Linked DNA regions of Oryzias latipes. The main gene of each other region encodes a partner of the protein of the gene in region 2 in a complex. Links are inferred from orthologs where the notes say so. Each region holds a gene or a part of one and is shown on either strand. Other genes may lie near its edges.

Region 1 (7,471 bases), on a different chromosome or scaffold from region 2:
AGCGGCGCCACCTCTGCAGTTTACAGGCGGGATGTGGGAGAACTTCAGCCAACAAAAGCCTCACGAATCCTCAGACAGATAAACGCTCCACGGAGGCGGAAGAGGAAACTTCAGCGTTTACCTGTTGTTCAGGTGTTTACATGCTGATAGAATAATAATAACAATAGAATGGTATTTTTACACTTTGATCACAGATGCAAAAACGTTGAATTTCTTCATAAACATTCAGTGGATCAAATTAAAATAAAACAATGTTTCGGTTCTGTGACGATGCCGAGTCCTGCCAGCAGAGGGCGACATTACAGACTGCATGGAGGAGCTGGAAGAGGAACCTTCAGCTGCAGAGACTGAGACTGTTTTGACAGAAAGAAGCCGAAAAACTGCAGCATTTCTGGATCTGGAGATAGAAGCTCTGTCAGAGAGTTTCTATCTCCAGATTACTGTGGAAGTAGTTTACCCGACACGCTCCGACGAGGGCACTTTCTACATTCCATCATCCACTCCAGCAGAACACAAACACTCACCTGAGCACAGGTGTCAGCTCACCTTTGCACTAATAGCATCATGACTGAATGAAATGCTTTCCCTGTGTTGGTTTGTGTGCATGTGTGTGTGTGAACTGTAGTTGGGTTGTGTACATGTTTGTATGTGAAGACATTTGGAGCCAACAGGTATGTTTGAAACATAGACAGGCCCCGCCCCTTTTACACAGAAAGGCGTGTGAGAGGAGCTGAGTGAGTTCAGCACTGTAGAAAAACCAACGTCTGCCATAAGCAGGAACCCAGCAGAACCAGAACTTTGCTGAACATGAACTCCTGAGGAAGAGTCGGTCCAGATGTTTCTGCTCCTCCACCGAAGTTTCACTTTTTTTTTGGGAACCCTGTGATTTTCTGGGTGATTGATCAAAGCTAGGTTTTCTTCTGTGAGGTCACTCTGCTTTAATCGTTTCTGTCCTTCCGTCTCCTGAGCTCGTTTGTCTGAACAGCTGTTTAGTTCCAGTGAAAGAATCAGAGATGAGAACAGAGAGGATGGGTCTCCATGCCTGACTGCTGACTCTGGAGGAGGAGGAGGAGCTGGTTATTGTGATGAAGAACCAGCTCCTCAAACCAAAGTTCTCCTGTTTTCAGATGACTCTTAAATGAACTTTGAGAAAAAGTTTGGTTCCAGGGTCCCACAGACAGATGCTGGAGTCTTGCCGCTCCTCTGCTAAAGAAGACGTTTCCATGGCGACGGCTGCAGTCATGCTGCTCTGTTTCCTGAGTGTGGCAGAACGGCCCGGCTCGGTAATGAAACCTCCCAGCTTTCTGACCCGGAGCCACGAGGACGCGTGCCGATACGCCGAGCTCTTTAATACCAGCCTCAGCCAATCAGACGCCGACAAGCAGAACAAATGCCCCGCAACGGCGCCTGGGTCAGGAAGAATCCAGCTTCCCTGATCCTCTTTGCAGCGCCGCCGCTCACATTTCTCCTGTTCACCTTCTGTTAAATTAGTCATCTGAGATTAGAGACGGCTTAAGGAGGAAAGTTTTCCTTCAGAAGTTGATAAAGCTCAGAAACGTCACGTTTGCTGAACTTTTGCAAAAACACGGCTCTTCAGAGGCCCGGAGGTTTCTCTGACCTTTGAAGACAAAGAACTTTCTGGACTCGCTGACTTGGTTCTTCTCATCCATCCAGGTGACACGGTCTTCAGGTGGAACCGCAGCATCTGGACTCAGAATCCTCTGTAAAGACTTCATTTAGTGGGAAAGCAGCTGATGGTGAAACAGGTTTGAAGTTTTCTTTTTGCAGTGTAACAGAGACTCGTCTGCGTTTCTGCGCAGATGGACACGTCTGCGTTTCTGCGCAGCTGGATCCATCTACGTTTCTGGACCCGTCTGCGTTTCTGCGCAGATGAACCCGTCTGCGTTTCTGTGCAGCTAGACCCGTCTGCGTTTCTGCACAAATGGACCGGTCTGCGTTTCTGCGCAGCTGGACCTGTCTGCGTTTCTGCGCAGCTGGACCCATCTACATTTCTGGACCCGTCTGCGTTTCTGCGCAGATGGACCCGTCTGCGTTTCTGCGCAGCTGGACCCATCTACGTTTCTGCGCAGATGAACCCGTCTGCGTTTCTGCGCAGCTAGACCCGTCTGCGTTTCTGCGCAAATGGACCGGTCTGCGTTTCTGCGCAGCTGGACCCGTCTGCGTTTCTGCGCAGCTGGACCCATCTACATTTCTGGACCCGTCTGCGTTTCTGCGCAGATGGACCCGTCTGCGTTTCTGCGCAGATGGACCCATCTGCGTTTCTGCGCAGATTGACTCGTCTGCGTTTCTGCGCAGATGGACCCGTCTGCGTTTCTGCGCAGATGTTTCTGCGCACTGACAGCTGAGGGACGGCCTCGTGATTCCTAAGAAAAGAGGACGGACAGCCTTCATGCAAACACAGATCAAAGGTTTTCCAGCTGAAACTCAGACCTGTGGAGGTTCTAGTGGCCCGTGGCCGGCTTCATCTGATTTTGGTGACACACAGAACTCACAAAGCTGCAGAAAAATGTTTATTTACAAAAATCCCTGAAGAATCACAGAAACTTGTGTCAGCGGCACATATGCTAACAACTGTCCTGGTGTCCCTCTGGGCTCCAGAGAACCGCTCTTCTGTCCTCAGTACACCTTGGACCTGCACAAGAACATCGAGGGTCAAAGACTTCCCGGCTCTCAGAACCGGCCTGCGGGCTCAGGGTACCTGGAGAAGGAAGATAAGGCGATGAATCCCAGCAGGAACTCCAGGCCGTAGAAGCAGAGCAGGACGGCGCAGAGCAGGAACTCCAGCCGCAGAACGAAGGTCTGCAGCAGCAGGTAGTAGACGGCGAGCGCCGCACAAGAGACCAGGATGAAGAGCGACAGGCAGGAGGTCAGGGAGCGCTCACACAGGTTCCCCTTCCAGCCTGAATCGACACAGGGGGACAGCGTCAGCGCCTGCAGCCGGCCTTGAGAACCAGCACAGAGCCTGAGCGGCTGAACGCTTCGCCGCAGGTTTGAGTCTGATGTTTCCAGGCAGCAAACGTCTGCAGAGATGCTTTAACCCCTTCATGCCCACTGGTGCAAGGAAGAACCACTCCTCCTCAAACCGACTTTCATTTAGCCTCAACTTGAAAGCAAAAACACAACTGATCATTTTTTCATAGCTGGATATAAATTCTGGCGTGGGGGGGGGGGGGGGGGGTCATGTCACTTCCACAGACAGAACCCTGGAACCCAGGAGGAGAACCCTCCACCTCCGTCTGGGAGGCCGTCCAGGTGAAGAGTGAGAACGCTCTCTCCTCATTGGACCACCGCTCAGACGGGCGTGGAGAGGTTCTGCACCGAAGGTTCCGCTTCAACAGAACCTTCAGAGGCGGAGCTCCGAACACAACGATGAAGGTCACACATTCACACACGGAACCAAGCTTCTTCCTGCTTTGATCTCCAGCATCATCATCGTTTACACATCCCAGCATGCCTTTCATGCTCTGAAGTCCTTTTTAAATCTGAAAACCACATTCTTGGTCTTTCTGACACTTCCATGCTAGCATAGAACCGTGATTGTTCTGACGTTAGCTCATCCAGCACCAATGTCAGGCCCGTCTGCATCCTCTTCATCCTGCATGTTCCATCTTTGTTCTCCAGAACCTCTCAGCCGCACTTGCGGTTCTGGAGAAAGCAAAGCAGATGTTTGTGTTTGGCGTCACCGTAAAAGATGCGCAGAGCCTCCAGAGCGAGGAAGAGGAGCAGCAGGACCACATCCAGGACCAGATTGTCAGACGGGTACGGCAGCAGGATCCCTGCAGCGACACCAGCAGCAACCGTCAGACGCTCCTCCATGACGTCCAGCAGAGGAACAGAGGACAGGCTGGAGGTTCTACGACACCTTCGGCTTCATTCTCAGGTGAAGCCGTGGTGAACCTGCAGGGGGGCGGGGCCACACACCTTTGTAGATGAACATGAGGATCTCCGCCAGGTAGAAAGCGGCAAAGTACCAGCTGTTCAGGTAGAGCAGCACCTGCAGAGGCGTGGAGGACAGCTGAGGAGGCGTGGTCAAGGACAACTGCGGCTGGTGGACAGGCCCCGCCCCCTCTGACAGCAGAAGGATACGATTGGTCGGCTCCCTGCAGACGCGGTGAGACAAAAATGTTGTCAAACTGAGAGTGAAACTGAACGTGAGGCTTAAGAAGCGTTTAGGAGACGTGACGGTTGTTGGACCGGATTATCTTTAGCTTTAGACGGTGGTTTAAGAACGTTTCAGAGGTAAACACCGAGTGGGAATGTTTTTAGCCGCTAACCGGAAATCAACGGCGGACCGGAAGTGTTTCCGTCCGTCTCTGATAGCTGCAGAAAAATGACGGGGAAAGACGGCCTGCGGTTTTTGCGCCGTTCTTTCTGCGACGATGATAAGAAAACACTCACCAGGCGCCATGTTTGAGCCGCTGTGGTCGCTATGGAAACGGCTCTTCTTCCCTGGACAGCGTCAGGCGGGGCTCCGTGCTGCCCCCTGCTGGTCAGGATGAGCAAACAGAAGACACTAATATTTGAAACAATTTCACATTATTTTATTAATGGATGTTCTTCAGTTTCACCACTGAATCACTCTAAATACATAATTAGTCGATGTTACCTTTTATCATCAATGGTCTGAAATCACGTGACATGCGGGTTTCTGTTGCTGTTTCCTGTTGGACCCTCAGAGACCTCATTTAAAGAAAATAACTGTTCTTTCTGCGACATCAACATAGAAACACTTGATCATCTGTTTATTAAATGTATAAATACTAACAGGTTTTGGGAGGATTTCTTTTGGTGGTTCTCTTCAAATTTTCTTATTTCTATTTGGTTACAAAACACATTGTATTACACATTGTATTATTTGGAGTCGTTTCTGGTGATAACTTATTTAGTTTGGCATTTAATACTTTATTAATTTTTGGGAAATTTTTCATCTATAAAAGGCAGATTTTTACAAATCAAATCATTATTCAATACATTTCATAAAGAGATCTGTTTATATTTTAAATGCAATAAAACTGTCAATTTTCATTGAAGATCACATGTTAAATGACAATCCCTAGTTCTCTGAACTACGGTTCTAATGTTATTTATTTATTTGTCTTGTATCTTACTCTTTTTTTCTTTTGTTATGTCTTTCTATTGTAGTTACATGAATGTGTAATCCTTTGAAGTTGAATTAAAAAACCCACAGTGACTCCAGGAGGAGGAGGAACCTTCACAATCTGGTTCTGATGTCATCCGCTCTGCCCAGCACACAACTACAATACCCAGCTTGCCATCGCAGCGCTCTGATTGGTCGAAGGCGCGCCAGGGTTTACGTGGCACTGCTGCGGACGCGCAGACTCCGTCTGAGCTCGGTGGTTCCGGCTGGAAGACGGTTCGGTCCGGATCAGCATGCAGCCGTGCGTGTTGGCGCTCCTGCTGCTCGCGCTCTTCTGCAGCCGCGCGCCCGCGCTCTACTTCCACATCGGAGAGCTCGAGAAGAAATGTTTCATCGAGGAGATCCCGGACGAGACCATGATCATCGGTGAGCGGCTAAGCTAGCTGCCGCGCGGCTAACGCTCACAAAGTTCCGGTTCGCCGTCAAAAAGTTTCCCAACGCCGCCAGAAGTAGTTAGTGAACCGTTTGATGAACGGAGACGTTGGCGAACACCTCGTAGTAGAAGTTGGTGAGGATGTAGGATCGGTCTTTTACCGGGGAACGGAGGACGGTTTAAGCTAACTTCATCCTATCAGCACGCGGATAACAAACCAAACCGCCTGAAGAATCCAGCCCGTTCCCCGAACCTAGACCAGGAACCCAAGCGGTTCTCCTGGAGAATGGGCAGGCAGCTCCTCCAGGAGGAACCAGCAGGTGGAGGTCCGGACCAGAGTTGATGATGGTTCGTTCTGAAGGAGCTGTCTGGGACCGGTCGCTCCCTGAGGTTCCTGCAGAACCGGGAAAGCGGGTCCAACGGTCCTGACCAGCGCGTCCAAGGACCGGAAGTGCTGCGTTCAGCCGGATGTTGTCACTGACTGTGGGGCGCTTGTGTTTGTGTGCAGGAAACTACCGCACGCAGCTGTACGACAAGCAGAAGGAGGAGTACCTGCCGGCCAGCCCGGGTCTGGGCATGTTTGTGGAGGTCAAGGATCCTGACGAGAAGGTAAGCGCCGGAGGAGGTCCTCCTGACACGTTAGTGCCGTGATGCTCACTTTGAGGAAGGTCTCTTCGTTAGATGGTCTCTGTAACCACGGCAACCGCGTCCTGACCTCCGTAAACATCCAGAGGAGGACTTGGAGCTGCTGCTGTTAGTCTTCTGTGGAGGTTTTGGTGGAGTGGACTCTAAGCTCCTCCCTCGCCTGCAGGTGATCCTGTCTCGGCAGTACGGCTCGGAGGGACGCTTCACCTTCACGTCGCACACGCCCGGAGAGCACCAGATCTGCCTGCACTCCAACTCCTCCAAGTTCTCCCTGTTTGTGGGAGGAACGCTGGTGAGGAGGCGGTCGGCGTAAGCTCCGCCCCTTTACCTTCACACCCACGGCTTTAACCGCCGTCTGTTTGCCGCAGAGAGTTCACCTGGACATCCAGGTGGGCGAACACGCAAACAACTACGCCGAGATCGCCGCCAAGGACAAGCTGACGGAGCTGCAGCTGAGGGTCCGGCAGCTGGTGGAGCAGGTGGACCAGATCCAGAAGGAGCAGAACTACCAGAGGGTGAGTGAAGCCCAGCAGAGCAGAACCCGCAGGAAGCAGATGCTCCGTCTGAGTCCAGACATCTGATTTGAGGTTTCACAGCAGAACTCCAGCTGAGCGCCCCCTGCTGTCCGTTTGCTTTCAGTACCGCGAGGAGCGTTTCCGCCAGACCAGCGAGAGCACCAACCAGCGCGTCCTGTGGTGGTCCATCGTCCAGACCCTCATCCTGGTGGCCATCGGCATCTGGCAGATGAGACACCTGAAGAGCTTCTTTGAGGCCAAGAAGCTGGTCTAGGTCTGGAGGGGGCGGGGTCAGACGCTCTGCAGAAAGTCTGTCCTCCTGTCTGAAGAGCCTCTGCTTGGTCCAGCAGGGTCCTGCCAGTTTGTTACTGAGCACGCGAGATTTCCCAGGAAGTGAAGCGACGGCGGCTTTACTGGAAGCACAAAAACTGTTCCTCTGCAGACATCACAGCTTTGATTTCTGCAGAAGAAAACCTTCATTTGGTGAATCTTTTTGGGTTTTGGACTTTGGTTTCTATTTGTGAGAGGATGGATTAAAGTTGATTTCTATCAAACGAAGCTGTTCAATGCTGTTATTCCAGGTTCACATGAACTTGAAGATCCGCCGCCCGCCGTGGTCGGTGGAGGTTTTGTTGCTGTTTGTGTGAAGGCTGCACGCCACATTGCTCTGAACACGCTCCCAATAAAGGTTTGGGTGTTTTGAATGTTGCTGAAGTCGGTCTCCACTTTGATCTGAAGTGACAGCAGCACCAGAGGGAC
Region 2 (7,577 bases):
TGTCCATCTCAGATCTAGAATACTTATTTTCCTGAGTCCAAATCAAATACTTCAGATACTTCAAATACTTTTTTTTTTGAAGCTCTTACCTGCAGGTTGTTTCCTCCAATGGGATCCCATCTGAGAAAGTCTCCTCTGACATTGTAGACAGCAGCAAGCAGCTGGATGTCAGTGTTCTGACAAAAACATACCACTTTGAATTAAAATGTGCATTTCTTAGTATTCAAAACAAATGGGGATATTTGTGTTAGCTTATCAGAATCTTTGAAAAGACTTGTAAAAAAAAAAAGAATCGCTAACCTTTTTTGTTCCTCTGAAACTGAAAGACAAGGGAACAGGTTTATTTTGGAGCACTTGGCCCGCCAGGCCCGGCTCATCTCCATAGTAAAGCCAAGGCAGGTTGGCCCTCCTGCCGACAAGAGTATCATATCTGTTTAGTGTCTGTTTTTTTTAATGTAAGGTAATTGCTGCATGAACAATGTAAAAAAGGAAAATCCAAATCAAACGTGAATACCAGTAAGAAATGTCTTGAACAGAGCTCAGAGCAGCCTTTGACCTAGAGATGGTGTTAAAGAGACCACAAGCATCTGTGGAAAGTCCAGTGAAGGAGTGCATGTTCATAACACACATGTTTCCGAGAGCCTGACACGCTGTCAAGTTGCTGAAGACCTGTGGGGAAAAAAACAAAAATATGATTTTCTTTTAATAAAACTCTAACTACAAAATTAATTTGGTGAAAAACGTATGTTTAAATCTGTTACAGTACATTCTAAAAATAATTTCGGTAAGAATTCTAACGATTGTTTATGGGAACATTTAAAGCTGTTTGTCCAAATTTAGGAAGGAAATTGACTTCAAGAAAAACAAACATGTTAAGTCATAATTTTTCTAAGAAAAAGAAGTTTTGTAAAGGCTGTGAAATTACAAGGCAAGCTGCTGCAGAAGAATAGAGGTTTTCCACAAACCAGGCAGACTGGATGCTAAACGCCTGTGAAGAAAATGAAAGAAAATCACAAGCAGGAAAAACATACAAGTATTATTTTCTAGGAAGAGAATTACACTTTGACTTACCAACTGAGCATAGCTGACACTTGGATTCACATTAGTGGAGAAGCTGCCTGGAGGAAAACATAAACCTCCAGCCTGCAAAAAATTACATTCACAATCATTTGTGATTTTGTGACTGCAACAGATTTCTGTGGATTTAGGGAATGTGCGGGTAGTAGATGACCAAACTCACCTGGACATTTGGGGATTGACACGTACAGAAGGTATTAGAGAAGGTAGCCTGGCATCGCTCACATCTGAAAGATAATTTTTGATATTGTATTGTTCATAAAAAAAACGATTACCGGTAACTTTTTCTCTAACTGCATCAACTCAACCAACAGTTCTACAGTAGTAATGGAGAGCAGGTATGATGGTCCAATATGGCATAAAAAGAGAAAATTGTTATAGCATAAGAAAATGTAGCTCGTGCTCATTAGAAACACGTGGAAATCAAGAAGAAAAAAGCAGAAACCAGTAAAGAAATTCAAAAAACAAAACAATAAACAACTACTGGATATTAAGCTATTTACCCTGTAACACATTGTCTTCTCATAATATTTTTGCTATTTGAAGCATTTTATGGTGATAATGTCACTGTTTTAAAAACCACAAAATTAATACATACAGTATATAAACGTTTGAGATTTGTCCAGAACAACTTCTGGGCAAACTCAAAGTTTGAACATTCCTGCTGAAACTACCCATTTACACTTTTCAATGACACAACACAATTTTATAACACAAAAGTAAATATTAACACTCAGAGATAAAGATATGAGGAAATACAACAAATCATACATGTTTAACTATTTTTATATTTGTTTGAATAATGAAAATCGGAGCAAAAGTTTAAAAAAGATTTCATAGATATTTGTAGATACAACAAGAATATAAGAAATTGTCAAATTTGTTTTGCCCTATACTAAAACAAAACAAAAAAAAAATCACTTTTTTATTGACTTTTATTTTTCATTTCCACTAAAGTAAAGATGACCCACTATGCAATATAATGAAAATCGCTCCGCTTTGTAAATCCCTAAATATTTTTATTTAACAGTGCAAATGTAGCACAAAGCACCTCCTCTCAGAAAACTAGAGTTTTCTATTAAGTAAAATATGTTAAATGAAATTCTCATGAATATTAAGTCTGTACTGTATATAATTACCTGTCCCCATTACTGTTTGGTGCAGTGAAGGCAGGGCTGTCTCCAATGCATGCTTCACAACTGGCCTCATCAAAAAATGTGCCATTAATGTCTCTTTCAACTGAGAAAAAGAAGAAAAATTTATAAAAGTTTTCTACCAAAAAACTTACAATTACCCTTATTTACAGCTTTTAGGGAAAACCCTTTTTGTTGGGTTGTAAACCTCTCATTGTACTGGTAACTCACCTAGGATATTTCCAGATGGGCACTGGCAGTTGCCATTATCATCAAGTCTGCCGGGGCAGCGAATACAACCAAAGCCGTCTTTCGTTACTGCCTATAATAAAGGACAGGACACCAATAAGCACTTTTATTTATATCAATTGAATCGGTTAGTTCAAAAGGGGTCCAAGTCCAAGAGGTTTGTTAATCCAGGAAATGATTTTAATTGCATAGCTTAAAGGGGGGCTACACTAAATGATTAATACTTTACCCAGATTTAGCACCAGTTCATAGCTTACAAATGCTATAATATGAAGCAGCTCACTTTTATAATTTCAGAGGACTAGCAAACTAAAGTCTCTGGACTTGGGCCCTTCTTGAATTAACCCTTGTGCTATCCTAGGCATTTTATCCTAAGGAGTTGGGTCATCTAGACCCACTAGTCAGTGCGCTGAACCTTTTCTCTTCAATTATTTTTGAACCTCACTGGTGTCCATCTAAGATAGTACAAGGGTTAACCCTTGTGCTATCTTAGATGACCCCACCCTTGCATTGACAGGGGCGCTGCCATATTGGATAATTAGTGCTGCCATCTATGGGATAAAGCAAAACCCATGCAAGAAAGGCCCAAGTTCAGGAATTTTGCACTTAATGCATTTTAAATGTCAAGTATAGACAGTACATTACAACGGACTTGGGACTTTTTGCACATAATCAGATAGCTTTTCCCTTGAAGACCATAGAACATATAATGTCTCTATTTTGAAAAATTGTGGACTTGGGCCCCTTTTGAACTAAGTGATTCAATTGTGAAGTAGTTTTAAAAAACATGAATCAGAACATTCATTATGAAAGAAAGCTATACTTACAGGCTTGTCTGGGGGACACTGTTCACATGTAAACGGGACTTTGTTGCTGCTAAAATGTTTGGTCTTGTAACCCGTTTGACAAATGCAGCTCAGACCTATATAAGACAAGACATTTCTTTATAGTTTAGAATAATATTGTTTTCAATGGTGAAAGGAAATACTAATATTTAGTTAAATAAAAATCTTATTTTAAAAATCCTTGCAACAACTATATTGTGCATTTTGAATTTAAATTTAAAAAGAAAGAAACCCAGAGAGGCTGGTTGATGTTTTGATGAGGGTCAATTCAGATTCACACCGTCTCTCTAGATACAACAGTATGTTTAAACAAATCATACATTAATAGTGCAATCCTATATGGCCTCTCAAAGCAGGTCCATATAAGAACAGTCAGTGTACATTTATTTAAACTAGTTTGAAACATTTATCAGTTTAGAATAAAAATGATTAGCTTTCCTGTTTCATGAAAAATGAAATGAGACTAGCTTGTTCTGAACATTAAAGCTGAACAGAGTTTGCTTGTTTAGCTTTATGCCATTTTTCCTATACAAGTTAGGGAATATTTATGGTAATTCAATTAAACTTCTAAAAATATGATTTTTAGACCACATGCTATAACATGTTCTTAAAGGTTAAGGTTTTAAACTTTAAATAATCTTAAATAGTCTATAATATATTAGTGTGTACATATTAAAACATTATTTGGATTAACAAAAACTTTCTTTAAGAATAATTTCTTTATGTACATGATACAGTAAAGTAAAGGCTATCTTAACTGCTAGCAACAGAAAACAATTAGAACCAAATTGGCTTTTACTTCTTCGAGGTTGTTCAACAGCTGGAGCTTAACTCGTTTGAATGTAATTATCTGTTTTTATTTTTAGATATATACACTAATGTTGGTATGTTTACAGTGTGTACACTGTATCATGTAGCTTTATCGCGTGGTGATCGATACCCACCTGAAGAACTCTTGCGTTGATTTGCGCCGCATTTGGCACACGACAAACTCGAGATGTCGAAAAATTCGTTCACACCACATCCGGAAGGATCTTTAAAGGGGATAAGAAACTGCTGGCAATGGAAAAGGTGCGTATGAATCACATAAAACAATGTAAAACAAAACATCTGCCTGTCAAGAACAAGCGGCGTCCCCGTCGCCATGGTAAAAATGTCCTCCTTTTTACCCACAATCCTTTGCAACACGTCATGACGTAGGGCGTTCCAACTTAAAAAAAAGTTTAAAATGTTCTTTTGGGGAGAGAACATCTTGGAGACACCGTGAGGATAAATAAATAAATCACTAATGTTGTGAAAGAATAAAAAAAGACAACTCTTAAACTCTTTGAAGTTCTTTGAAGAATCTCAAAGATTCATAGACTAAATCAAATAATAATGGTTTTCATTCATACTTTTAAAAAGATGTCTTAACAGAGGATAACAATAATGGGATTCTCTGTAACGAAATATAGGCAGCTCTAAGGATTAATGTTGCCTCTTCCAGCAACAATATATATATGTATGTGTATATTTGACTATAATACTTAACCTTGTCCACAAGTAAAAATAAGTATATTTTTGTGACTTTCGACTCAGTGATTTTAATTTTAGCTCTAGTTTTTTTCTTGTTTGTTGATGTTCTGCTATTGATTACATAGACATTCAGAAACAACAGAGACTTTGAGTTGAGCTGGGGGGGGGGGGGGTACAGATAGCAGAATGATCTTTACCAATTTGACCTCGTAGTGAAACAATTTTAATTGAAAGTTTAAAGCTTTCTTTTTCAAAGACCAGAGGCTATTGTGGATTAAAATCTAACTTTTCTTTTTCTGTCACTCATTTCAGCTGGTCCGTCTTTGGGTCACAAAGAAGTCAATTTATGACCCAGAAACACTTTGCTTTGCAGACGACATCTGCCTCCTCAAACCATCCACCCAGACATATCATCTTAGCCTCAGACTAAATTATTTTGCAATATTATTTTTTTATCAAGGTTATTGTGAAGGTCTATCAAGCTCCTTCCTGAAGATGCAATCAATGAAAAAAAAAACTTCAGCTTGGACCTGATGTTTTTTTGTCAGTCTCCATGCTGTGAAAATCTTTGTGCATTAATTTTATTTTGTAAGGTTTAGCATTTAATATAGAAATGTAACATTGATTCAGGTTTTAGAAGATTTATTAGCACATTTAAAACAGATAGCCAATTTTAAATCTAAATATCATAGATGTATACAGGAAATCTTTCACTTTTACTTCAACCAGGTTTAGTGTGACCTAAGATCAATTTAAGTTCATCACCAGTACTCGTCCATTTCAAGTACAACCACATCATGCCCCAATATGTGCAGCTTATTAGTGTGATTTATTGTTTATGTCAGACTTCAAAGCAGTTGCAGGGGCTTCAAGTGTATTATCACCCAGCTAACTTTGGTTGACTGTGTGACTTACTTTTTTTGCAGCATATTTTATACAAACCTGTGTTTTATTCAAAAATTATATATTTGATAACTACATTTCCTCAACAAAAGGCAAAATGGAAGCTGTGATTTTGATCAAAACAGATACAAGCATCATCTACCTCACCTTGTTTCCTCTTATTTCCTCCTCATTCTACAAATGAACCTGCACTGTTGGCCTCAGCTCTCCCTCATTATAGTCCTTTTACTGAACATCAGGTAAGACGAGAGCTGAAGAAACCTAAGACCAGGAAAGCAGCAAGCCCAGATGGGGTGTAGCCCAGGCTCCTGAAGACATATGCAGATGAGCTAGGAGGTCCCCTCCAGCACCTCTTTAACCTGAGCGTGCACCTTGGTATAATACCAACACTCTGGAAGACCTCGTGCGTCATTCCTCTGCCCAAGGCCAAGCAGCCTAGGGGTATATAAGGACTACATACCAATTGCATTGGCCTCTCACAAAATAGAAACTGGAGAGGTTAGTGCTGCAGTTGCTAAAGCAACAGGTGCAACATGCAATTTGCGTATAGGGTGAGGGTGGGAGTGGAGGATGCTGTCCCAGATCTTCTCCACCGCACCTAGCCTTACCTTGATGAAGAAGGGTGTGCTGTTTTTATCCCCTTTTTTAAGTTGAGCCTTATAAAAAATTTCATTTTTGAAAGTGTTATTTGACTTTATTGAATAAAACAATTGCTAAATATTCAAAAGTTCAACTCAGAAAGTCACATCAGGGATAAGTAGCTCCTAAAAATAATCTGGTTTGCCCCTTGGATGGAAAAACGTTAAAAAGCAACAAAAAGAGCCTAACAAAAACAAAATGTATATAGTAGAAAAATCATCCCAGAAGTCTTTGATTGTGGGTAGAAGTGACATGAAGAAACCAGGATGCCATCTTTTGCTCATTTGTAGAATCTTGGAGGACCATCAGAATATCTGGATGGACCTGCAACAAGACATCAGAAACATTACAAAATCTCAAATGCATTTTCACTCTTAAAAGTTTAATGATATTCCCCTAAACAGTGATTTCTTTCTACCTGGTTTTGTATTTCTTATGTGACAAATGCCTTGTGTGGAACAAATAAAATGTAAATATTCTATAAAAACCAGGTGTAAATCAATCAGGCTTTGATTTTGACAAGTAAATTTGGGTTCTTGTACCTGAGACATTCGAGTATCGATCACTACTGCTTGGTGTTCTGGTAGGAGTGGAGAAGCTTGAGGAGCTCATAGGCAAACTGCTTGGAGTTGGACCCTAAAACAAAAAACTCTACAATTAGGTTTTTTCAACATTTAAATATTAATCGTGACTTTTTTCTCTCCATTTTGAAGTAGCTAAATAAAAATGTACTTAAACACAAAATACACACTTAGAGAAATGAGTAAAGCTTTGTACCGGTGATATGGTCCTTAGTCGGTACTCCATCAAAACATCAGTTAACTTCTGTGTCACCTTTAACACCAACTGAGCATCGCTCTCACTCTGTATCCGGAACGAATCCTAAAAACATAATTTCAAAGTTAGTTTTATGTTTTAAACGGAAAAAAAAAGTATTTTTTACAAATGTTCAGTGGATCTGAGAAGGAGCTAAAAACCCACCAGGTATGTGAGCAGAGTACTGGAAAGTGTACTGCTGTGTGAAGCTGCTCCCATTCCTCCTGATCTCTCAGGTGGCCGGTTCATATAGTTATCACCCATCTGCCTGCCCTGGAACCCTGGATGCATTTTGTTGGAGCTCTTGTTCAGTGGTCCACTCCTGAAGCTTTCAGTTCCACCAGGGTTAAAACCATTTCCACCCACAGATGAGGGATGTCCAACAGCTCCACAATCCATG
Region 3 (7,525 bases), about 870 kb from region 2:
AGCATCCCGCACAACATGCAGCGTCACGCTTTCTTGACTAGCACAACTGCTGCCTAAGGAGGGAGCAGCTGCACCCATCAGCGTGCCTCTTGTAAATCTGCCAACCCTCAAAACACCAAACCAAGGCCTATTTTTAAAAAGCAGCTCAATGCATTTTAATCTTATCAGATTATATTGTTTTGGGAAAGCTGCAAAAGTTTCATTTTAAACTTGTTCACATATCTTTCAAAGAAAATAACGTGTAAAAAAGCTTCTTTTTCTTCCCCCTGGCATTCTCCCTCAGTACACTGCAGTTTTTAAGCTGTCCTTGCAAACCGCTCTTTGGCTTAGCCTTTCATCCCGAGTGAGGATGGGATTCATTAAGCAAATGACTTCCTGTCTCATACATAAAGCAGCATTGACGTAACTCTTCACTCAATGTCTTAGTTTAATGCTTTAGGATTTTGCGTTTCAGAAAGTCAAAGATAAGCCGCAAGGCCTAAAAATATCTCTCGAACTGAAGTAAGGAGTTTGCAGTAAAAGTACATTCTAATTTCATCCTCTTTTTCTTTCTGCACGCTAACCTTTCCACAATGCGCTCCAGAGTGAGGTTACGGAAGCAGTCTGACAGGCCTCTCTGCCCGAGCTCCACTTCCTGCTGACAGGAAGGACAGGGGAAGATCATGGGGGGAAGAGTTGTGTCCTTCCGTCGCCGCCCTGGGTATGTGCTGCACACTGAGAGCAGAATGAAGGTGTAAATTGGCAATTGGTGAAAAGAGATACACAGAGGAAAACAGGAGTCATACATTATAAAATATGACTGTAGGAATTTTAAATACAGGTCTTTACATTGATGCTCACCACCTCCATGAGCTAAACACATTCATTTGAAGACCTACAGCCAGACACTGATGTGTCAGTTGATGATGATGCTGCACCACATCGGCGGCTCCATATTTTTACATAACAGTATAGTCATTTGAGTGCTGAGGCCATCTGTTTCTTTTCTCAGATGTGAGGGGGAAAAAAGCTCCTGAAAGGCATCCTAACCTGAGTCATGTTGAATCCACTTCCCTCACCTGTTCTGAGGACCCGCTCCAAGCGGTCAGGAGTCCTGGGTGTGGGTCTGTGAGTTTGGCGTGGGGACCGAGTGTTCGGCGAGGAGGCTGGTGATCTGGGTTCCGGAGGGAGGTCTGGAGGAGGGTAGCCTCTTTGTACCAACACCTCGGCCGCGCACAGCAAACACACACTGTGCTGGCATGGCAGGAGGACGGGCTGCTTCACGATCTCGTCACACACCGGGCACAGCAGCTCCTTTTCCATCATCTTCATGTTGGACTGGAGAAGAGGGAAGAGGAAAGTTCAAGAAGACAACAGAGCTGCGACTTGATTTAAAGAAAGGAAATGATGGCAGTGATGAAGGAAATATCTAGATGAACTCTGGTTGTGTGCCGTTTATTGCACAGGACAAGAAGGAAAGAAGAACGTAACCTCCATGATGCTTAGCAGTCCTCCTGTGATTGCTTCACTGCTTCCTATTTCTAAGAGTAAATTGGCTGAGACATTATTTTTAATAAAAAAAAACAATTCAAACAATGCAGAAACATTCTGTTTGCCATTGATTGTTGCTTCTTTTTTTTTTAGGTTGTGGTGGCCCCTTTCCATTACTGCAGCCACAAGGCGCGGCATCCGGTTTCTATGACAACGCACATCTTCCTCTGGCCCTGATTTTATGCTATTTGGCAACATTCTTAGGTTCTTATATCTATTAAAAATGAATTATGTGGTCGTTGCGACTGTATATTTTCTATTGCCATTCACCACCTGACTGTGGCTTTCAGCCTATTCCGGGTTATTAAAGCGATGACAAAACATGTTTGTAAACGGTAGAAAAATGCTCCGCATTCTTATTTCATAGCCATGATTGTCCAGATCAACATACTATCAATAAAGCAAGTTATATGTAAGACTACATTATTGTTTTTCCTCTCTTAGATGTAGCACGTTTGAAATGGCTATATTAGAATAAACCGGCGTCGCACACTTACACTGATACGAACCAGCGCGTCCATGACAGAGGTAAAGGTTTGGAAGTCCTCTTCTGCCATGCTCTGTTGTTCTGATGTGCACGCTTCCAAAGAAAAAATGTTTCGTTTAAAACGATTATTAAGTGGGTGTGAAAAATAATCCCCGGCTGTTTTGTAGCAAACACTAGGCCCTGACGTGCACAGATAGCTGTGCTTGAGGTGTGCTGCTCAATCTCTGTCGTCTATCCAAATGCGAATGGAATGGTTGCTGAAACTGGTGGAGGGGGGTGGGGGCGTTTTGCCCCAAAATGTTAGCTTTATCGGGGAGCGTTTAAAAAACATTCTTTTAGAAAATAAAAACAAAAAAAAATCGGCTTTTCTACGTTCTTTAGATACGCGAGGCTATGTTCATCCTACAATCACACGTTAACTTTGTCATGTTTTATTTTTGTGTGTGTGTTGTCGTTAGATGCTAGTGTTGTGTGCTGCTTAACAACAAAGGCGATGGGTCGCATCCACTTCCCTTTTGTGTCCGGAACGTTTGGAAGGTGGATGTTTTTACGGGTCGCAATATTGGATGCACCCAGCCACTGGCTGTTGTAGCAACCCAATGCGACACCGGGGTGTGTTAAATTTCTATGTATAATTTTGTTTAGAAAAAAGACTATTAAAGAGTAAAATTTTAATTTTATAAGTTCATTGGCTTTAAAAATGCTTGATTATCATTTTTGGATTATTTATTGAACCGCGGTTGCGTTGATATACCGCGAACCAGGAGCGACGACTGTTGTGTGAGATCTGTGAACTCCAACGTGACCGTTTGGCTTTAAAATTTAGAATTTTCTAGCATTTCTGACACTTCTGTGAACCAGAAACAACATGTCTTCTATTAGCAGTCTAATTCCTGCGCGGTTTCTCACCATCATAGCTCACCTTGTCATCGTCATCACAATCTTTTGGTCCAGGGTAAGTAAGGACAGTCCGTGTTGTTGTTAAAGCTTGAAGGACGACTCAAGCTGCCATAGAAATATTTTTTATTATTATTATTAATATTATTATTGTTTTTTGTAAATATCAATAACGTGTAGTTTGTGATTTTAAAATAAAGAACAAAAGTTTTTAAAAAAATCGTGAAATAGAAATAAATTCTACTCCACAAAATATTTTTCCTAAACTGCAGAAATATAGATTTTTGTTTGCTGCAAAAAGTTTATTTCTCCTTTTTTTTATAAACAATTTTTTATCTAGAAATGTTACCATAATCGGCTATTTTATGTATTTGTTTCTGTTTTCTAGGAGAATAATGTGAAGGCATGTTTGCCTTTGGAGTTTACTCAGGAGCAGTATGACACAGAAGACAGAAAGTAAGTAACAAATGATTGAAAATATATGAAAAAATCTTGAATGCTCACATTCTAACCCGCATCCCTTTGGTTATTGTTCAGGTTGGTTGTAGCCTTGTCAGCCACTCTTGGTCTGTTTGCTATCGAGCTAGCAGGCTTCTTTTCAGGAGTCTCCATGTTCAGTTCCAGCCAGGGTCTTCTGTGTATCCTTTATACTGACAGTGATGATTCATATTTGTCATGGTCATTGATACTGAACTATTGATTCACAATTGTGAGGAAAATAAAGATTTTCAGATATTGTCTTTTCTCCAGCAGCTCTAGCTTCTAAATGAGCATCTGGTTTATAGCAGAAAACATGATTTACAAGAATAAATGAATGGATTAAACAATGCTTATTAGTCATTAGTTACAATTCCGTAACTAAGAACTTGTCTGCTATAGCAACAGGAGTCCATGCCAGTGCCTCTGTGGCTTTGCTCTTTTTTCTGTTTGAGCAGTGGGAGTGTGACATCTACTGGTGGATCTTTGCTATTTGCAGGTTAGTCTTTTGACGCCTAGCAAATCCGTTTTATCCTTTTTTCCCCAAAGTTTTCCCTGACAGCTGCTCCTTTCAGCATTAGCTGTCCACTGCTCCGCATCCGTATCTTTGTCTTTCTTTGTGTTTGAACAATGGGAATGCTGGACTTACTGGGTGATTTTTGCCACCTGCAGGTTGGTTCGCCTGCATGCTTGTTTTCAATGAATAGTTGGCTTTTAGAAAGACAGCATACTGTAACAGTCACTCTTATTTTGAAGGAATTTGAATGCATTTAAGGATTGTTCTTTTATCTTTCTGGATTTCTATTAATTTCTTTTTCTATTTCTCATCTTTCAGTGTCTTGCCAGCTTTTGTGGAGATTCTTCTGTTTATTGCGGTTTTTGGACTGAAGAAGAAGCCGTTATGAAGAGGAGTTGATTCAGATTGAATGGATGAACGCTTCCATTTGTTGCTACAAGACAGTAGCTGCAGAAATTCAGTTATTAGATCACCTTAAAAAGGGGCCAACATTGTTAGAATTTCTTCAGCAGGCATCAATAGATCCAGAAAGAATGTTTTTTTTTTCAATCTTTGTAAATATATTTTGAACTATGTAATTACAAAAAATAATTATACTATGTTGTTTGTTTTGAATAAGTTGGAGAGTTAGCAAAAGTTTAAAATGTAAACCAAGTTTTTTGTTGTCAGTAGTGTATTTGTTTCTCATGTAAAGCTTTTCAACGCTAAATCCAAAATACATTTATACTTTTTTAAATAAGTCTTATTTCTCTCATTGTATCTATCTTTATCCTCATTTGGTGACTTAATTGTCAGAGAAATATTAACCAAACTGAGCCAGAAGATAAATTAAAGTCGGGCGACAAGAGTATCCAGAACCGCAAGGTTACAAAACATGAAACAGTAACTTCATTTTTGTGCAGCTATCAAAAAAAAGAAACAGTATTTAAAATTGATTTAGGGAGGAAAAATCCTTTCCTAAATTATTAATGTAGTGAGACATGTTGTAATATAGAAGAATTATGTCTATGAAGACTCTCTTTCATCCAGGTTGATTCCATCATAGTAGTAAGTTTAGGGGCTGTCCTCTTAGTTTTTAAAGTTAGAAAACGTTTCACCTCTTATCCAAAAGACTTTGTCAATTTTGTAATATAGGCTAAAAAAGAAAGGTTTTTTGACGTAATGATCCCTCCCTTCTGCTTTTCTGCATGCAGCTGCGGACAAACCATTGCAGTTGTGATAAACAGAATCAGGCCCTGCATTTGGTTCTGGAAAACACAAACTGAAATGGCCAAAGTATCAAATCCCTTTAATTCTGTAAATCTTTTGTGTAATTAAAAACCTGAACTCACAAGTAGTTTTATGTTGTAAACAATTAAAAATGACTCCAGTCAATGGTTGAGCTTTATGTCTTTCCATAAACACTTTCGTTAATTTAATTTTTTTTAAAGAAAGTATTTTTCTAAATGCATAGGTCCCACCCTCTGGTCCTTCCGGAAAACCTGTCCGGGTAGTCAAATAGTTCTGTTCCTAGTGCAGTACCGGATCCTTGCATGTCTTTAGAGAGTTTGCGTATTCTCTCCCGTTTTTCATCGAAAGAATAACATTTTAGCAGCAGCTAATGGGTTTGTACATTTAAGTTTTATACCAGAGAAACATTCTCTTTTACCACGCTTCTAAATATGTTTTTTTTTAATGTTCGTGTGTTGTGTACTGTCTTGTTGTTCTGTTGAGGCAGCTAGCTTTATGTGAACTATGATGGAAAATAGTTTTGCCATCAAATAGGTCGTGTACGGGCTTTTTATGTGAACAAATGTGTCAGGAATTTTGACTGTATACAATGGAAACGTTTAGATTGTTGCGTATAATTTGGGTGTTTTAGCTTGAAGCTAACAGCTAACTCGGAAACATTTGCGTGTGAACACTGACGTGGCGTAAGGTTTTAGCGTTCCCAAAACCAGAGTTTAATTGAATGACTTTTTAAAGTCAATGTTACAAAATTATCAAATCTGTGAGGTTTGCATAATATTTTCTAAAATTGAGATGTATTCGTCAGTCAGGCGGCTTTTGATTTTAAAATTGCTCTAGATGATATGATCATTCTGGTTTTAGGATACTTTGCCTTGTTTTGACGGCTTTTTTTGGTGATTGCAGCGGTGAACACAGGCACGTCTCTGGTGCTCTCCAGCCTCCTGTCAGTGTTGGTTTTTGCTGGAATGCAGATGTTCAGTAAACAGCTGGCATCCACTGAATGGTTCACCATCCTTGGAGGTTTCTTGGGCTCCGTCCTGTTCATCTGCTCACTCACTGTATCCTTTGAGTAAACTTACACAATTGTTGAGATATGCTTAAAAACAGTTTTCATATAATATTCTCTTTTTTTCCATTGAGTTGTATATGATCTCAGCCTTTTTTCACCAAAAACCTGTTAATTCTTTTTAGAAAGTATCTGAAAATACCATTCTAGACTGTGTTTCTCCTTAATTGTACTTCTAGGCCTTTAATAATCTGGAGAATCTGGTGTTTGGGAAGGGATTCCAGGCCAAGATTTTCCCAGAAAGTAAGTGTTGAAAGGGGGAGAAAGTTGACCTACTTCTCATCCATAGCATTACCGAGTCACATGAACACTAATAGAACAGCAGATCCTTCTGAAATATATCTGGCAGTCTAATTAAGTGTATGTGTAACTTAGCACCTACATTAGCACCTTATGTCAGACTGTACTTTTAACAACTTCATTCTGTCAACTTCCAGTTCTGTTTTGTCTGTGCCTGTCGATGTTCGCTTCCGGCCTGGTGCACCGTGTCTGTGTCACCACTTGGTAAAAGACACACAAAAAAACTCATTTGGCATAATTAAACTCATAAAGTTAAAAGTTTCTTCTTAATTCATCCAACGTTGCATGTTTTCTAAAACTGATTTTTGTTTTTTCCTTTTTCCAGTTTGATATTCTCCCTTTTTGCTCTCTACTACATCAACAAAATATCTGCTGCCCTCTACCAAGCAGTGGCTCCAGCAGTAACACCAGCCAAGCCTGTCAGCAAGGGAAAAAGGAAGAACTGATGCCCTGTTTAGTACAACTAATACCGTTTTCCAGTCACTATGACCCGTTTACTGATGTGTACTGGTAATTCAACAAGTTTAACATTTTTTTTTCCCCACACACCATTTTCTTACCTGAAGTTTATTCAGGTACCTTTTTCAGAAATTATATTACCCAAAAACCTGTCTTTTTGATATGGTTGAGATTAATATCTCTTAACATTCCAAATACCCGTCTTTTCTCCGCACTGGTGGCTTCAAAGAGATTCATGCCATATTTTCTGTATATGCACATTAAGTTCTTTTCATTTGTTTGTTTCTTGAATTTTATAATTAAAAATTTGTGAACAACTTGTGAACTCCCTGCTTTCTGTCACTTTGTAAGCAAACTCGGCAGAATTTGTGACAAACCGGTAAGTTTTTCTTTTTCAGCAAAATTAATTTTTTGAGCAGCTTTAAACGAGAAAACAAAAAGATCAGGCAAAATTGAAGGAGTTTTACTTTCTTCAATATTTAACACATTTTAAGAATGGAGTAAAGTGTTTAGCAATAAAAATGTGTTTCATTACTTCAGTCTGCATTATGCTCTTCATGAA
Region 4 (7,665 bases), on a different chromosome or scaffold from region 2:
GTTTTTAAACGGGGTCCAAGAGGAAACTCAGGGGGGAATAGAGCTTTTTCTGTCTGTGCACCAAAGCTGTGGAACGCTTTACCACTGAGTATTCAGCAGGTATCTTCAATGTCCATTTAAAAAAAAGTTTTAAAACCCATTTTTATCACCAGGCCTTTGACACGGCATGAGACTCTGCTCTGCTGGTAAGTTTTACTGCTTTATTGTTTTGCTTTGCTTTTGTTTGATTATTTTACAATTTTAAATCACTTTAATTGTTTTAGCCTTTTAGCTGTTGTTTTTTTTTTCTTTTGAGCTTTTAATGTACGGCGCCTTGTTTGACTGCAGTCATTTTAAGGCTCCATGAAATCGATGAAACTATACTGGTTTCACTTTGTTTTTTATTCATTCATTTAAATTTTGTCTGTACATTTCTGGTCTTTGCTAAAAAAATTCATACACAAACATTTGATTTGACTCCAATTGTTGTGATTCTAGCAGGATAAAAAGACCTCCTCAAAGGTGGAATTTCTTTTGGTTTTTAGTTTTTTGTGGAAAAAGAGACTGGAGTTTGAACTAAAAATAGACATGAAAAATAGTTTGAGGTACATTTTTTAGAACAAGCTGTAAATAAATTAGTAAAAAGGCTCAACATGGCCTCGGACTGCGAAGGGTTAAGACACTTTCTAAAAGTAAAGAACATTTGAGGGTTTCCAGGTCTGTTCTGGTCTAAAAGCGCCTCCTGGTCTCCAGGAGGAGCTGGAGAAAGGCATGCTGGCTCTTCACATCAGTGAAATATGAGAGGTGATGGAAAATGGAGGTCATGTTATCCACAAACAAGAGCAAGTGGGTACATAAATGTGAAAGCTCTTTTGTGTTCATCGGTCATCTTTGTAATTTGAGAAAAAGAGGAATGACGTTGCACTCAGAAGATGCCTGACTTATCATACATAAGCATCCAGGCTGGTTGGATGTCAGAGATTTCGGTATTGATTCCCTCTGATCATCTCTGCATTTCCATTTCCGATAAAAGCACCCAGCCCCCACAACTCACCGGTACTCTGTCCGGGTATTTGTTGCGTATTTTGGCTGACTCCACACATCGGTGCTCTGAGGAAAGAGACAGCAAACAAACAGGAAGTCAGAGATTAAAGGGATCAGTGCGTCCTCTGGGGATTTCCTGTCTTCAGCCTTGAACAAGCACAACACAAGATGGGGGAAGTGTATGTTTCCCACTCATGATCCTCTGTTTCAGAGGAATAGTACAACATCTTCATGCAAATTCATTTCAGACACATGGATGTGCAGGGAGGATGGGAGGAGTGAGTGAGTGAGGGGAGGACTCCATCTAGGTTCATTAGCCCAGATAAAAGTTCTATCTTCAGAGGTGCTTCTTTAAAAAAAAAAGAGTCCTCAAGGTTATCCAATTACCATGAGAATGACAAGACAAAACTTCACAGAAGGATCTTATATAACACAAACTAGGCCTAATAGAAAAAAACAGTAAAAATAGATTAAAAAAAAGGTTGTTTTTTTTTAATCCACCATACTTTTTTAAGTAATGCATGCAAAATATTGAAATTAAAGCAATACTAGATGATGATGCAATGCTTTAAATGGCGTTTCTCTTGAGGTGATCCTAAACAACCTGCAGCAAATGCGTGTTAGCATGATCATGCCAAGCTAAGCAGGATCGATTTCCGGCAGGCTCCTGCGAAAACCCCGCGTTAGTGTGTCTGTGATGGGTGGTGGAGCCACATCGAAGGACACACAGTCCGCGGAGCAAAAAGGAAAAACACGCGACATGAAAAGAGGACATCTCTCTCTGGTTTCATAACAACAACCCAAACCCTTTTTACCGAGGGAATGGTCCTCTTTAAACATCCATTTCATCTTTGCTGGATTCCCGCACTGATGCGTGACGGCAGGGGCGAAAGGCGGGCTTCACGATCAGCTAACCCTGTTGGGGGTTCAAACTTGCAGAAATCCTGCCCAAAGCGACCAAAACAAAACGTCAACAAAGAGCTTCTGTTGCTCAGCTGTCCGTCTCGCGGAGAGGTGACGTCACCGTCTGGCTGTTGGTGCTCCTGGTGCGTTCAAGTGCGCCCAGCAGTGCTCGGTCCAAAAAAATCCTTGTAGTTGGGGCTGTTGACAGACACGCATTAATATCTAGTTTCTACATTAATATCCTTCTAGTTTAATGAAAACAACACCAAAGAAATACAAAATTAATACAGTCAGACTGAATAAACAATGAAACAAAAATGATACATTGAAATGCCTTAGAACGGTCATGGGCATTTATTATTAGAAACACAATTGTATAAAAAATTTTAATGCTTTTATTTGAGCTTTTATTTAAAATTAATAGTTCCCATAACAACGTAAAAAGATAATAATATATGGGAATTTTCCAGGCATGAAATGAAATAACTACTTTTGTGCTTTTACTTAATTTCAGGACCACAGAAGAGTTTCAGCATTCCCCACAGTTCATGAATGCATCCTGAACCATGGTAGCCATGGAAACCGAGGGACGCTGCAGAAATATGGCGGGGGGCTCGTTTCCTTACATGTTGCAGGGGCTAGCAAAATAGCATTTCAACGCGAAAAGTTATCAGAAAAATATGAATTTACTGGCGTTTAGAATCCAGAGGAAGATTTTTTGGAGTTTCTTAACGACCAGTTTAGGTAGTATCGACATTTTTACGCCGGTAATCATTTAGTCCGCTACTAGGTTAGCATCTCCAGCTGTAGCCTTACAGCTAGCTGTCTTTACACCGAACGTATGGCTTTCTACGAAGTGTACTCTCATCCGGCTGTAATTCGGTACAAAACCAGTGTTTGCACAAAGGCTACGCTGTTCCTGGTTGTTGTTTTGTGCCTAACCTACATCCCACCTCTGCTTGTTGCTTATAGGAGTCAAGGTACAGTATATATATCGAGGCTTTAAAGTGTCCATTTATTTCATTTTGAACAAAAGAATATATTATGTTTTTGTTAAAGTCTTTGTTTATGCTAGAATATAAAAAAAGGATTTTTATTATCTATATTACTTTACACGTTACAAAGCCTATGAGTAAAGCCAGGGCCTTTTAAATAAAGTTTTATTAGTCCAGTAAAAATAACAAATTAATAACATTTCAGCAATATTTCATTCCATTTTTACTCAGATTTATTTGATTTAGACAACAACTATTCTCTTTGAATGCATATGAATAAGCTTTTATATTAAATAACCCAAGTTTTTACAACTTTTGCTTTAAGTCTAGATATGAGTTGTTTTCAAAATGACTAAATCCATTTGTGTCTGTTGAAAGATTAGCCTTAAATCTGTTGGATGTGTTTTGATTTGATTGATGGATTTCATGCAGCTTTCAGCTCTAAAATAAAACAAAATATATACATATATATATGTGTGTATGTATATATAGTATCATTTTAAAATATTAGTTCCTAAACTGGTTTGAGAAAAATAAAATGACAGAAAATGTTTTTATACACTTGACATTACAATGTATCATAAATAGGTATATCTACACCTATTCATACAGTACACACGTGTGCAATACATTGAATCCATAAAATATTATGTTTTTTAAATAGAGTTTGATTAATTGGGTGGGAAAGAAGTGAATTTATAATCCCACACCTATTAAATTTTACCAAACTTTTTTTTTTTTGACATGTTTACAATTTTCTTCCAAATAGGTGGCCGAGCCTTTTCAGTGAATGGGGATCGCTGCAGTGGGATCTTCTGGGTCTGGTTCTTGCATCTGGGGAGTCCTGTAGTGTATTCTGTGAACTTGGGTGGGGCTCACTTGTGAGGACGGTTTATAATTTCCCCACAAAGCCGGATTTCTACTTTCTACTTTGCATCATTTTAGTGAATCATTTGATGCACTACTATAGTGTGCGTGCATGTGTGCGTGCATGTGTGTGTGCGGCGGGGGGCATTTTATGCATTGTATACATATTTTTTGTCTTGCTTTTGGTTTTTTAAAATTGGATTATGTTTTTATGTAAAACACTTTAAGTAACTCAAGTTGGAAAAACTGCTCTATAAATAAAGTTTTATTTGATTTGAATGTTTCAAATCCATTACAGGAACAGAATTTACGTTGTGTTATTTTCATGCTGGCTTTCATTGCACATTAGTGCCTTTGCTTGTAATACAACAGTAACCCATATTACCATTCAAAAATGCCCTTATTAATGCTGTGGAACAAATGTGACAAAAATGCTGCTATTTTGAACTGAATTATTCGAACATATTTGGTAAATGATGAATTATGCTTTTAAAACGTCTTCTGTAATTTTTAAAAATGGGTTCAAATGTAAAAAATGCCATGGAAAAGTCAGAAAAGTTGTTGAATTCTGGGTACATCAGATGGACATGTTTTCTGCATGACAAACCTTGTCAAGAAGCAAATTCCATTCCAAAAAAAAAAAATGAAGCAAATTCTATAGGAGATTGTGGGAAGTTTGGCTGAAGGATTCTAATAGAAATCTTATGCTATTTTATGTTTGGTTTTTGGTTTGATGGTAACATAGAATTAGAAGAAATCTCAACGTCAAAAAGTTCCTAAAACCTTATAGTTTTGTTTTTTCAATTTCAGGTTTCTGGTTAAAGCGAAGCACGTATGAAGAACAGCCGGTTGTGAGGTTTCAGTACCAGACTCTGATGGTTGCAGCCACCGGCACTCAAGGGGACTATGTGGCCTGGAGTACCTTCCCACACCTCAACAACATGCTGGGGCCCAACCTGCGGATCCCTGCCGTCTCTGTGAGAACACATTTGTGTATCACTGATATGTGTGACACTTTTTCAAGTCTTAAGAACCACATTCCTATGTCATTGTGTAAGCTGCATTTCAAAGCATTGCTCCTGTTGCCATGGCAATCTTTCATTGATTAGCCCTGATGAAAAGCTGGTCCATGCTTTTTGTTTCTATACTTTAAACCAAAACCTTAATGTGTCTAAAATATTTCTTTAAGACAAATATCTATTACCAGAAAAGTATGTTGCTGTGCGTTTACACACAAACCCATTTACCTAAAAATGATCAGAGTACAGACAAAGAGAAAGTACTTCTGTAGATCCACACACAGTTTTTGAAGAAAATATGACCAATAAGGTGTTAACACTGTGAGAAACGAGTTTTTTTTTTAAACTCAAGTCCACTTAGAATACTTACTGGCCCGCTGGGATCTTTGGCCCTTTTGAAATATAAGGTTTGTTCTTAAATCACATCACATTTTTGCTATACAGGCAAGCGTTTCAACCAAATGAACCCAGAAAGTTGTTGCTGCTTCACAGATTTTATTCTCACCTCATTTTCTCAATAATCGTGTTTACCATAAAAAAATGGATTCTATATAACCGTTAGAAACTAAAAAGGCTAAATGATCCGCATGGGTGCTTCTCCAAAGACGAACCACTAACCCTTAATTTAGAGGAAAGTGAATGAATGAAAAAAAACAATCCAACCTGTCTTTAACTGTCTCTCACAAGCTCCATTCTACATGTTATTCAGAAATTCTAGAAATGTCAAGGCGTGGAAATGTTCTAGCAGTTACAATCACTGCCTGAGGATGGAACTGTCAGAGGATCACAATGTACAGCAAACGTATTTACCCCCTCGGAAGTTTGTCACTTTTGTTTCCTTGATAAATTACTCACAGTCAATTAAATAACTAGAACAACACCCTTCAATGTCAATGTGAAAGCAGATTCCTACACAGTAATGTCATGGAAGTAAAAATATGAAAGTGTTGATCAACAGTAAAGGGCATAACTGTTGTAAGACTAGAAGGAATATCAAAGAAAACTTTGGAAAAGCATGCTAACAAATATTTAAAATAAGTTAGTTAAGTCTTGTTGGCCAACACAAAGGTTAAGATTTATAATGGTGTTTGCCGAGATTGTAGACATTTGTGAGCGAGACATTTATTTGGGTTATGTTTAACACACAAACTTAAAACATCAACACAAGTATTGACAATTAACAATGTCAGCATAAACATTGAACAAAATTAACCGAAAAAGGTGTCGAGTGAAGCCAAGGCTTATTTCCCGACCCTGATTACAAACGTCACATCTACCTACAAATTGATAGAACCTTGAAAAAAAAAAAAAGAAAAAAGAGGAAGAAAAAACGCTTCTTAAAATTACTTCACAACCACAAAAGTCTCTCACTACAGAAGGAATTTTGATATATTTTAAATGTATACATTATTTTAAACTAATATATGGAGTTTGTGTTCTTCAGATCGTCGGATAATAAATTCCACATGTTGACCCACTGAACAAAAATACTATTCTTTATTGCATAAGTTCTGACCACTTTGTTTTTAAACATATCTTTACCCCGAAAATCATAATTATTAACTTTAATTTCAAACAAACTCAGTATTTTGGCAGGCACACATTGTTTTTCAACTTTAAACATAAAAATTCCGATGCTAAGATCAAGTAAATCCAAAAATTTAAGTGCCCTTAATTTTGGAAATATTTGTTTTTTGTGGATTGATTGTATGAAGAGTGATTTAAGTGCTCAATAATCGTGTTTACCATAAAGAAATGGATTCTATATAACCATTAGAAACTAAAAAGGCTAAATGATCTGCATGGGTGCTTCTCCAAAGACAAACCACTAACCCTTAATTTAGAGGAAAGTCCATGCATGGAGCATCAGCAGACTGCACACGTCTCTCCTTTCTACGCATCAGCTTTTAAGAGAGTTTAGCCTAAAAGTGAATTAAAAAAAAACAATCCAACCTGTCTTTAACTGTCTCTCACAAGCTCCATTCTACATGTTATTCAGAAATTCTAGAAATGTCATGGCGTTGAAATGTTCTAGCAGTTACATTCACTGCCTGAGGATGGAACTGTCAGAGGATCACAATGTACAGCAAACGTATTTACCCCCTTGGAAGTTTGTCACTTTTGTTGCCTTGATAAGTTACTCACAGTCAATTGCAATTCTAACTGTTTTTTTTTTGCAGAATAAAAATAGGTTTTGTATTTGACTTGTAACTGTGCCCCCAGATTTCTACACAATAGAGTCAAATAAGGCATTTTGAGGGAACAATATAGAATATACAATGTAGCTGTGTTTAAAAAATACTTGACTTTATGTAAAATGGCTAATGATTTGGACAATTTAGAGAGAACATGTGTTATGTGTGGTTTCCATGATAATTTATGATTCAATATTACTCCAAGAAATTTTATTTCATTTACTCTTTCAAGAAAAACATCCTCAATTTTTAACTCAGAAAGGATTTGCAGTTATCTATTGCCAAATATGATGTACCTGTTTTTATTTATATTTAAGGACAGTATGTTTATATCAAACTATTGTTTGGTTAGATCATTCTTTTTGTCACATCTTTGTACAGTTTTTACACTTACTTTGTTTCAGTTCTTCTCTAGAATTAATGTCTTGTAACCGGTTGAGCCAAAACCTTGACGTGCTTCTTCTTGATTGACGTCTTTGTTGTCATCGTGGTTCGTCATGAGTCATAGTTCTGGTATCTCCTGGTTGTAAGATGGAGGCTCCAATCCAAGATCTTAAATCCACTCCAATGTAAAAGTGTCTTTGGTGTTTTTAACATGTTCTTGTGGCCATTTCTGATGATAGAAAACATTCAAATTAAGCTTAAAATTTCATTTCTGAGTAT

What was found. Proteins that work in one complex are often made in the same cells at the same time.
Region 1: tmem67 (region 2) and transmembrane protein 216 share a complex: the UniProt entries of both Homo sapiens proteins name them as parts of the tectonic-like complex. The link is inferred for Oryzias latipes from reciprocal best matches to the Homo sapiens genes TMEM67 and TMEM216.
Region 3: tmem67 (region 2) and tmem107 share a complex: the UniProt entries of both Homo sapiens proteins name them as parts of the tectonic-like complex. The link is inferred for Oryzias latipes from reciprocal best matches to the Homo sapiens genes TMEM67 and TMEM107.
Region 4: tmem67 (region 2) and tmem231 share a complex: the UniProt entries of both Homo sapiens proteins name them as parts of the tectonic-like complex. The link is inferred for Oryzias latipes from reciprocal best matches to the Homo sapiens genes TMEM67 and TMEM231.

The regions. Positions count from the first base shown.
Region 1 is NC_019868.2:30,550,792-30,558,262, forward strand, and holds transmembrane protein 216, read right to left. Parts: upstream 5,178-7,471; 5' UTR 4,628-5,177; exon of another isoform or gene 4,505-4,627; 5' UTR 4,430-4,504; coding exon 4,420-4,429; intron 4,122-4,419; coding exon 4,108-4,121; exon of another isoform or gene 4,037-4,107; coding exon 3,943-4,036; intron 3,919-3,942; exon of another isoform or gene 3,838-3,918; coding exon of another isoform or gene 3,798-3,837; coding exon 3,705-3,797; intron 2,922-3,704; coding exon 2,720-2,921; intron 2,654-2,719; coding exon 2,638-2,653; 3' UTR 2,518-2,637; downstream 1-2,517. Other genes in the region: transmembrane emp24 domain-containing protein 9, read left to right, coding at 5,413-5,545, 6,061-6,161, 6,364-6,489, 6,566-6,712, 6,837-6,986. UniProt on the Homo sapiens protein: Part of the tectonic-like complex which is required for tissue-specific ciliogenesis and may regulate ciliary membrane composition.
Region 2 is NC_019874.2:17,681,587-17,689,163, reverse strand, and holds the start of tmem67 (meckelin), read right to left. Parts: upstream 4,484-7,577; 5' UTR 4,451-4,483; coding exon 4,249-4,450; intron 3,382-4,248; coding exon 3,287-3,381; intron 2,533-3,286; coding exon 2,442-2,532; intron 2,317-2,441; coding exon 2,217-2,316; intron 1,305-2,216; coding exon 1,241-1,304; intron 1,144-1,240; coding exon 1,072-1,143; intron 989-1,071; coding exon 926-988; intron 670-925; coding exon 515-669; intron 410-514; coding exon 301-409; intron 177-300; coding exon 90-176; intron 1-89. Other genes in the region: uncharacterized protein LOC101168649, read right to left, coding at 6,642-6,685, 6,904-6,997, 7,139-7,243, 7,343-7,577. UniProt on the Homo sapiens protein: Required for ciliary structure and function. Part of the tectonic-like complex which is required for tissue-specific ciliogenesis and may regulate ciliary membrane composition.
Region 3 is NC_019874.2:18,548,528-18,556,052, forward strand, and holds tmem107 (transmembrane protein 107), read left to right. Parts: upstream 1-2,578; 5' UTR 2,579-2,885; coding exon 2,886-2,972; intron 2,973-3,302; coding exon 3,303-3,370; intron 3,371-3,451; coding exon 3,452-3,552; intron 3,553-3,793; coding exon of another isoform or gene 3,794-3,890; intron 3,891-3,966; coding exon 3,967-4,063; intron 4,064-4,226; coding exon 4,227-4,296; 3' UTR 4,297-4,648; downstream 4,649-7,525. Other genes in the region: tripartite motif-containing protein 46, read right to left, coding at 564-714, 1,059-1,317, 2,028-2,087; krtcap2 (keratinocyte-associated protein 2), read left to right, coding at 5,509-5,512, 6,042-6,196, 6,384-6,447, 6,642-6,708, 6,830-6,950. UniProt on the Homo sapiens protein: Plays a role in cilia formation and embryonic patterning. Requires for normal Sonic hedgehog (Shh) signaling in the neural tube and acts in combination with GLI2 and GLI3 to pattern ventral and intermediate neuronal cell types.
Region 4 is NC_019864.2:27,555,992-27,563,656, forward strand, and holds the start of tmem231 (transmembrane protein 231), read left to right. Parts: upstream 1-2,488; 5' UTR 2,489-2,767; coding exon 2,768-2,906; intron 2,907-4,598; coding exon 4,599-4,765; intron 4,766-7,665. Other genes in the region: gamma-aminobutyric acid receptor-associated protein-like 2, read right to left, coding at 1,034-1,089, 1,839-1,872. UniProt on the Homo sapiens protein: Transmembrane component of the tectonic-like complex, a complex localized at the transition zone of primary cilia and acting as a barrier that prevents diffusion of transmembrane proteins between the cilia and plasma membranes.